Linked DNA regions of Coturnix japonica. The protein of the gene in region 1 purifies or fractionates together with the protein of each later gene. This does not show direct contact. Links are inferred from orthologs where the notes say so. Each region holds a gene or a part of one and is shown on either strand. Other genes may lie near its edges.

The links. The genes of interacting proteins can lie anywhere in the genome.
Region 2: the proteins of EXOC1 (region 1) and EXOC7 purify together in Homo sapiens (affinity purification with mass spectrometry; 4 studies listed by BioGRID and IntAct, counting the BioPlex papers as one, with this or other methods). This does not show direct contact. The link is inferred for Coturnix japonica from reciprocal best matches to the Homo sapiens genes EXOC1 and EXOC7.

Annotation. Positions count from the first base shown.
Region 1 is NC_029519.1:58,597,736-58,601,296, reverse strand, and holds part of EXOC1 (exocyst complex component 1), read left to right. Parts: intron 1-2,527; coding exon 2,528-2,677; intron 2,678-3,561.
Region 2 is NC_029533.1:3,918,604-3,922,945, reverse strand, and holds the start of EXOC7 (exocyst complex component 7), read right to left. Parts: upstream 2,855-4,342; 5' UTR 2,745-2,854; coding exon 2,685-2,744; intron 2,476-2,684; coding exon 2,410-2,475; intron 1,665-2,409; coding exon 1,480-1,664; intron 1,351-1,479; coding exon 1,245-1,350; intron 846-1,244; coding exon 623-845; intron 1-622. UniProt on the Homo sapiens protein: Component of the exocyst complex involved in the docking of exocytic vesicles with fusion sites on the plasma membrane.

The DNA of each region.
Region 1 (3,561 bases):
ACGAGCTTCTCCAACTAATTTTTTTGAGCTTGACTTACCCAACTAGCAGCTGCATCTTTGTATTTACAATAAGAAATCCTTATTGATTGCAGAATATCAGACTTGCATCCTCTCAGTTCCAGTGCTTTTACCAGCAGTGTTTATTTTCTTGTTAGATAAACATTCTTCTGATCTCCAAAGTTTGCGTAGGCACATTTACTTTCAGAAAATTGTAGTATGTGTATAACTGTACAGTGGTGTGAAACAGTAGTATTTGTAAACAAACCCTTAACTCAGTTTTTCTACATATTAATGCAACTGAACTTTTGCTTTTTTTTTTTTTTTTTTTTTAGTCTGCAAGCAGGAGGTGGAATAGAGTTATGCTGGAAAAATGCATAGGAAATAGCATTTGAGAGTACAAGTCTGTTTTTCTTTTAATGGTAGAAAAGTGTTTCCTACGTTTTCTTCTGCAGAGAAGTTAGAGTTCTATAGCATGTTGAATTTTTTATCCTTAGCTCTATTTGTAAGAAAGTACATTTCTCCCATGACTTGTTGTGTTTGGAAAAGCAGAGTGCAGGCCATCTGTCCTGGCCTTAAATGATGATCAAATAGAAATTATCCAATGTAAAGGTACTCACAAATGAAATCTGAATCTTAGATTTGCAGATGAAAGCAGCTTTTCAACAGAATGTCTTTTCTGATGTTCTGCACCAAGGATTTTTTTATTAAAAAATAGTAAACGATTACTATTTCAGTGTAATATTGTGCGTATGAGGTGAACTACTGTCAACGAGATTACCAGCGCTATTAAGAATGAGTAACACTGCAAACTCATAGTTGTAAGAAATGTATGTTTTTAATTCTGGTACTAACTTTGACCTCATATTGTCTTCTGTATAAACTTACCCTCTGTAAAGCTGTTGCTAATCAAGCATTAATCAGCTGTTAAAAAAAATCACTGCAAGATTTGGCTGGAATAGTAAACTGTGATAGATGAGCCTCGCATTAAGCTTTTTGAAGAGGAAAAAAGAATTGAGTACCTTGTTCAGAGGTTTTATTCAAGTGTTACAGATGTAACAATTTTTTTTATCTTCATTCAAACAGTATTGTTCTGTTAATCTGATGAACAGACTAACTATTTCTGAGTCCCACGGTTTTGAAACATCTAAGCAAAACAGTTTAGCTTATGAAGAGTTGTATTATTTGTTTAGAATGTTTATTAAAAAAAAAGTACTAAAGGAATAATCTAAATAAGACAAAGGTAGCAAATCAAAATGAAGATGTGCAGACATCTAAGCAGCTGCTAATATCAGCAAGACATGCTTTGTTTCAGAACAAAGATGAAGAAGCAGTTCCAGGGACACTGTGGCCTAAGTATGACAGTTTAGAAGTACAAACTTCTTTTGTATAAACTCGTATGATATAGATTTGTAGTATATACTCATTGTTCATCCTACTGACTTATAGATTATACTGGAAGCATGTACTTGTTCTGATTTAACAAAGGGAGTCGAGAAAGCCATCAGGTAGATTATCTTTAACTAATGAAGTGGAAAATTAAAACACATGCTGTTGCACAGCAGAGGATAGGAGTGAGAACTGTACACTTGTTCTTTATCAAGTTTTCATAAAAGTTTATTGAAGATCTATTGAAAATACTTGTTCACAGTAAAATACAGAAAATACTTGATCACAGTAGAAAGTATGACTGCTGTGATCACTTGTGGTATATATTCAGTAACTATGTGGCTAATGCAGGATTCCAATTTGAAATCATATATTGCAGTAATTACACTTCATGAAATTAGCCTTTTGCTGGAGTTTAGCCACAGGATTGTTTTCAGAACAGCATTTTGACACTGAGCCCTCTGTTCCATTAACACTGGTGTCACAGAGTTACCTCTATATCTGGTTGAGCTGTGTAGCAGAGTGCACAGCTGTGGTGTTGTATTGCTCCTTGAATTGCCCAGCAATCTTGTGAGTTCAAGAATATGACAGCCAAATTTTAGATTGTTCAAGAAATATAAAGTGATCTTCATTTGAGTGGTACTGATTTTCAGGAAGCACACGAGCAAAAAGGAGTATAAACTTAGCTTGCTCTTAAAGAGATTGATTTATACTGCATGTCCTAAACTGCTTAACTCATAAATGTGTACTGAAAATGTGTGTGTGCTTCAGAGACAATGATGGAATGTATGTCAGCTGAAGCTTTTAAGATGCAACTAAATTGGTTTAATAATAATCATATGCACTTCCATGTCAGATACCATTTTGTCAGACTACCCCTTTGCTGCCATTTGTCACATGGCAACAACATACAATAGAATATTGGCAGGGAGGTTCAGCTTCTACAGTCATACCACTGACACTGCCTCTGATGTTATTGACCAAGAGAATAAATGGGAGGCATTACTTCAGAGCTGCCCTAATACTTTGGTCTTTTTTCTGTTTCTCTGAATGGTATGCTGTCTTTTCTCAAGTTTTGGAACCTCTGTAATACATCTGTATTGTGCTTCTAGAATTATTTTAATACTTTCTCTTATTCAAGGGTCACGATCAGAGTTCTACTCTTGCCCAGCACTCTGTTGAGTTGACGCTACCCAATCACCATCCATTTCACAGAGATTTGCTTCGCTATGCAAAACTCATGGAGTGGCTCAAGAACACAGATTATGGAAAATATGAAGGGTTAACAAAGGTATGTGAAGTGCTTGTTAATGCTACAGAATTTACACAGTAGACTGTTTTGAAATTTAAGAGTTACCTGTGACTATGTGTATGCTCTGTTAATATTCCTTCATGCTAAATTCACTGTTCTTTTATTTCTCTTTGGAATAAGAAATGTCATGTTCAGTAGTTGTTGTATGACAGTATCCTGTATTTGTTTTTTTTTTCCTAAGATGTTTTGTCTGTTCTGAAGTGTCGTTTGACATTAACCCCTGTGTAAAGCCAGTTTACCATTTTACAGTCTAGTAAGATAAATAATTAAGCTATTTTCATGTTGATGTGCTTGTTCACCTTTATGACATTTTTATCTCAACAGCCTTTATTCTCTTAATTTCATTTGACTGTCAAAAACTTCAGAAGGTTTTTTGTAAAGTAGGTCAAATAGGGACGTTTTGGCTTTGCGTATGTAATTGTTGACTGTCTTGCATAAAGCTTAGATGAAGTGGAAAAAAGTGTTCAGAGGTCAGAGGAAGATTGTTCCTTAACTTCCTTTGGCAGTGTTACAAACTTGAATTTGGAATTCTTTGAATCTTATAGTAAGCACACAAAGACTGCGCATCCTGAAGTTGTTCAGGTCTTTTGTTTTTGTGCTGAAGGTGTAATTAAGGAGGACAATGGAGGATGTTTAGGAGTGGCATGCTACACTGAGACTGTGAACAATGGAGCTGAATTCCCCCCATTCTACTCTTGAATTAAATTCCATAATGCTCTTCCATCTGTAATCCTATCTGCATCTGTCACACTATACATGTTTCCTTGCAGAGGTGCAGTAGTGGTTTCTGGGGACATATGACATACATCTGTACAGTCCAAAACAGTTAATAGTTATTCAGTAGAACTTGCACTGTCATGCTG
Region 2 (4,342 bases), on another chromosome or scaffold:
CTATTGCCAGCATGAAAAACCTCAAATAATTCTCAAGTTTCACAGCCCACAGAGATTAAATGGGGGGGGGGGGGTTCACTGTCTGAAAGCAGAATATAAACTGACTAATGAGAATGAGCCATATATACTTCAGTTACTTCCTTTCATCATGGAAAAATTCTTAAGCAGCTTTTAAGGCTGTTTGTCACACTTGCTTGGCACAGTAATCCCCACTCAGAATTAAATCATTGCAGTGGGGGTAGCTCTAGTAGCTGCATGTATGTGAAAGAACAGCCTTCCTGTAACAGGTCCACTAAGTCATTCCAAACCAAAGGAAAAGTCAGTAATAGAATATAAGGATGCAGGTAAACTCTGATGCTGCAAAACAGAAAGGAGATATATTGACTGAAGAAAATATTTTTGTGCTGCTTTTATAGCCCTCTTTGGTCACGTTTAATTAAAAACGGTTTGCTCATTAATCATTCACAAGAGGGAGAAAGTCATAGTTCCTTGCACATTTGTGATATCTGAGCACTAGAGGATTGCAGCTCCAACACCCTGCCCTCAGGCCCTCAGGTGATGACCAGTGGAGAGCACTGACTCAATACAAAACTACAAGGGAACACCACGCAGCTCTGCCCACCTTGATTCCTGCCATTTTCCACCAGCCAGCCAGAGATACGGATGACGTCGTGCAGGACGCTCTCTGGGAGGTGTTCTAGTGCCATCTCCTCCTGTGTGTCCATTTCATCATCTCCACTGATCAGGTCCAGGATGAGGATGGGTGGGACAGGCTTGGTGTGTCGCGTCATCAAGCTGCGGAACTCTGATTCCAAGGACTCTTTTCCCCTCTCAAAGAGGGATTTCTGGCACAAACCAGCAGAGGACAGAACAGGGTTGTTGTAATCAGTCACTCACAAGTCTTTCTGCATGAGATTGCACTTTCTGCAGCGTTTCTAATCACTGTCAAGTACTGCATGCTTCAAACTCCAGTGCCTGTAGCTAAGAGACTTTTAATGACTTAGTTACATATGGAATTGCCTGGGAGTTGCTCAGTATATAAAGCATGAAAAGAACAAAATATCACCAAGCAAAATTGCTGTCGGGCTAGGACAGAAACCAAAGCAATCATTTCTTCAGCTGTGCCCAAACACATTCTTTATCAGGCAGCAAGCCCACCAGCCTCTCACTGCCCACAGAGGGTAAGTGGCAGGGTTATGGCTGTTCCTATCTTACCCATGCAAGCTTCCAGACCTGCGACCTACCACACGGTTCAGCTCCGGGCTGTCTGGATTGTTGTCCTGGAAGTATTCCACTGCTTTCTGGATTTTGTCCATGCAATTCAAGTACTCCTCCAGCCTCCCAGTGGGGCTAAAAATAAAAGCAAAAATAAAAAGGATCAGAAGAAGAAAAAGACAAAGTGTGTGGAGTCAGCGCCTACCTCTGCCCCAAGAACTGACAGGATGAAGCACCCCAGCAAGACCTAGCTACCAAACTCACCCTTCCTTTATGATCTTCTCTGTGTCCTTTGCCACATGGTAGTAACTAATGACATGATCCAAGCAGGACAAGGTTTTTTCCACGTTCTCCTGCAAGCGCTGTAGATTCTCTGTCTGTTTATGGACAGGGATGATCGAGTTCTCCAGCTTCATCAAACGACTTTCAAAGGAGGAAAGGATAGAAACCTACATGTCAAGAGAGAAAAAAAGAGTTGAGGACATCCCTCCACATGAATTCACACTACGGGTTAGTAGCTAGAATAGGGCAATTAGGCACCTTCAGGCCCCACTTCTGTTCCATGGCCCCTTAAGGCAGGCTGTTTAAACTTTCTATGTCCTAATGAATAATGAATAATTACAATACAGGTCACCTGCTGTCAAAGATAGACCATCCTTACATTTGTAAAGCATGCAAAACAGCACTAAGGGAGAGCAAAACTTGACTTGATAGCAAGAAACAAAGCCACTGGAAATGCCTGGAGGTGCCTTAGATAAAAGAGATCAATAAAAACAACCTGGCAGCCACTTTGCTCCATAATACTAAGATGTAAAACAGAGACAACACAAAGGCACATTGTGGCATTAATGTCCTTTTACATTGCAAGTATTTGGCTTTTAAAAGGGTCTGTCACTTCTGAACTGTGGAAAATAAGCCCACAGAGGGTGACTTCACATCATCCCTCCTGGGTCAAAACGCAGCTCTTTCAAGAAGAGAAAGGACAGACTGTAAGGACATGAAGCCTTTGCTTTGCACCCACACCTCCCAAGGAGGGAAAGTATGGGTTGGAAACCAGCCTGTGGGGTGTAAAAGCAAGTGATTTATTACTCTGTATTGCTCAGACAAGTACAACACCACCCTTAAACATGAGTCTACCTAAGGATGAACAGCCCCTGACCCAACATTAAGGCTGCACCTCCAGGAGCTCCTCACCATGTTCTTTGTGAGCTGGTCGCTCTTCTCAAGGCTCTCTTTGATAAAGGACAGCGTTTCTTCTTCCTGCAGTCACGATAAAAAGCAGTTTTCACTTCAGACCATCGAGCATTGAACTCACTATACACCAAACGAGGGTCACACACCCACAGCTGGGAGACCGAGCACAGGGTAGGCCGCACACAGACACCCATGAACCCTGAGGAGACATAACAGGCCCCTGATAGCCGCAGGCCCAACCCCACCTCCAAGCACTGACCCCAGCCCAGCCCCACCTGCTTCAGCTTGTCCTCGATCTCCCTCCTGCGGGCCGACATCTCCTCTGTTGGGATCATGGTGCTGCGGGGCGCCAGGGCCGCGCTCCACACACAAACCCCGCTACCACAACTCACTTCCGGCCGGCCACCACCGCGCCGCCATTTTGGGTGCGGCAAGGCACGTTGCGCATGCGCAGAAAGCCAAAGCGCTATCTAGAGAATGGCTTCCGGCATAGAGGAACCGGAAAGAGGATTGGGGGAGTAACGCGCATGCGCATTGTTGGTCGCCACCTTGGGTGTGGCGTACAGGCTGCGCCGCCATCTTGGGAGGGGCGTGGTGTGTCCTAATATGGCACCCTTTATCTGCCGGGATGGATGTGCAGAGTGACCCCAATGCACTGAAAGACACGAGGGGGTCCCAGCGGCTCCAGGGCGGGCACCTGGAAGGAGACCAGTGGTCCTGCAGGAGGGTTGGGTCCATGGCTGGGCCCAGTCCTGCTCTACTTACTGTATGGCATCACAGAGCACATCCCACCCCCCTGTGCTCTGTCACTGCACTGGGCTCATACAGGGGCTGCCCATAGAAGGAGGAAATGCAGCAGCTCAGTGTGCGCTGCTATTGTGTGCTGCTAGGAAATGCACCCATTGCAGGAAGGGGATGCACGACAGGGAATGCCCCAGTGTGACCCAGCACCCTCTGCTGCTGTCAGACCTGCTGTGTGTGCCATAAACCAAGCACCCCAACCTCCTGCTATAGGGGCTGGACCTGTGTCCCCATCTATCTTCCCCTTATCAGCCCACCCTGTGCTTGGTGAGGCTGAGGCAGCCCAATGGGTCTCTATTCAACAACAGGTGGGTTTTATGATCCACCTTATCACACAGCTGTGTGCCGACCAGCATGAAGGGCAATGTATTCCCACCCCACAGCCCCAAAGTGGCACCACACAGGCAGAGATATGAGCACTGTGACACGGCCCTGCTGCTCCCCTCAGCCACCCTTTGCATCTTGAAAGGCAATAACACAGTTTATATCCCATCCCGCCTGCTGCTGCCGCCTTCCCACCCCGCCAACAATCTCTTTCCGCGCCGAAGCTGCCGCCTGCGGAGGATGAAAGGCAGTGAGTCAGCAGTGCATGGAGGAATGCTGCTCCTTTTGCTCCATGGGAGGGTGTCACCAACGGCCGAGTTGGCACCGTGCTTTGGTTGGGGCTGCTGAGTCCATTTGGCACCGAGCAAAGCTGCTGCGCTGCTCTAAAGCTGCAGGTTGGGATCTGATCAGAACCTGATGGCTCCGTGCTGTTTGGATGCAGCATTCAAATGGCATCGCAGCCCCCTTGCTCAGCAATGGGAGGTTTGGGGTGCTGGGCTCCCAAATACTGCCAAGGAGCAAAGGTGAAGATGAAGCAGCAGAGCTCGGCCCTTGGCTCATTGTAAGGTGGTTGGGATCAGTCCCTAAGGGTTGGCCCCATAAGTCCCCCCCACAACCCCATCCACTAGCCCAGCACAGACACAAGCTGTGCTCTCCCTCCCTCCGGCTTTATTTGCAGAGGGAATTAAGGTCCTGCTGGGAAACCTTCCCCAGTGCTCTGATAGCTGCCCACATAGCCGGCTCTAAATGGCTTTTTGTAAATGAATGATCAGGATTAACGAGGATCCCCTGGCACTGTTTACTTAGT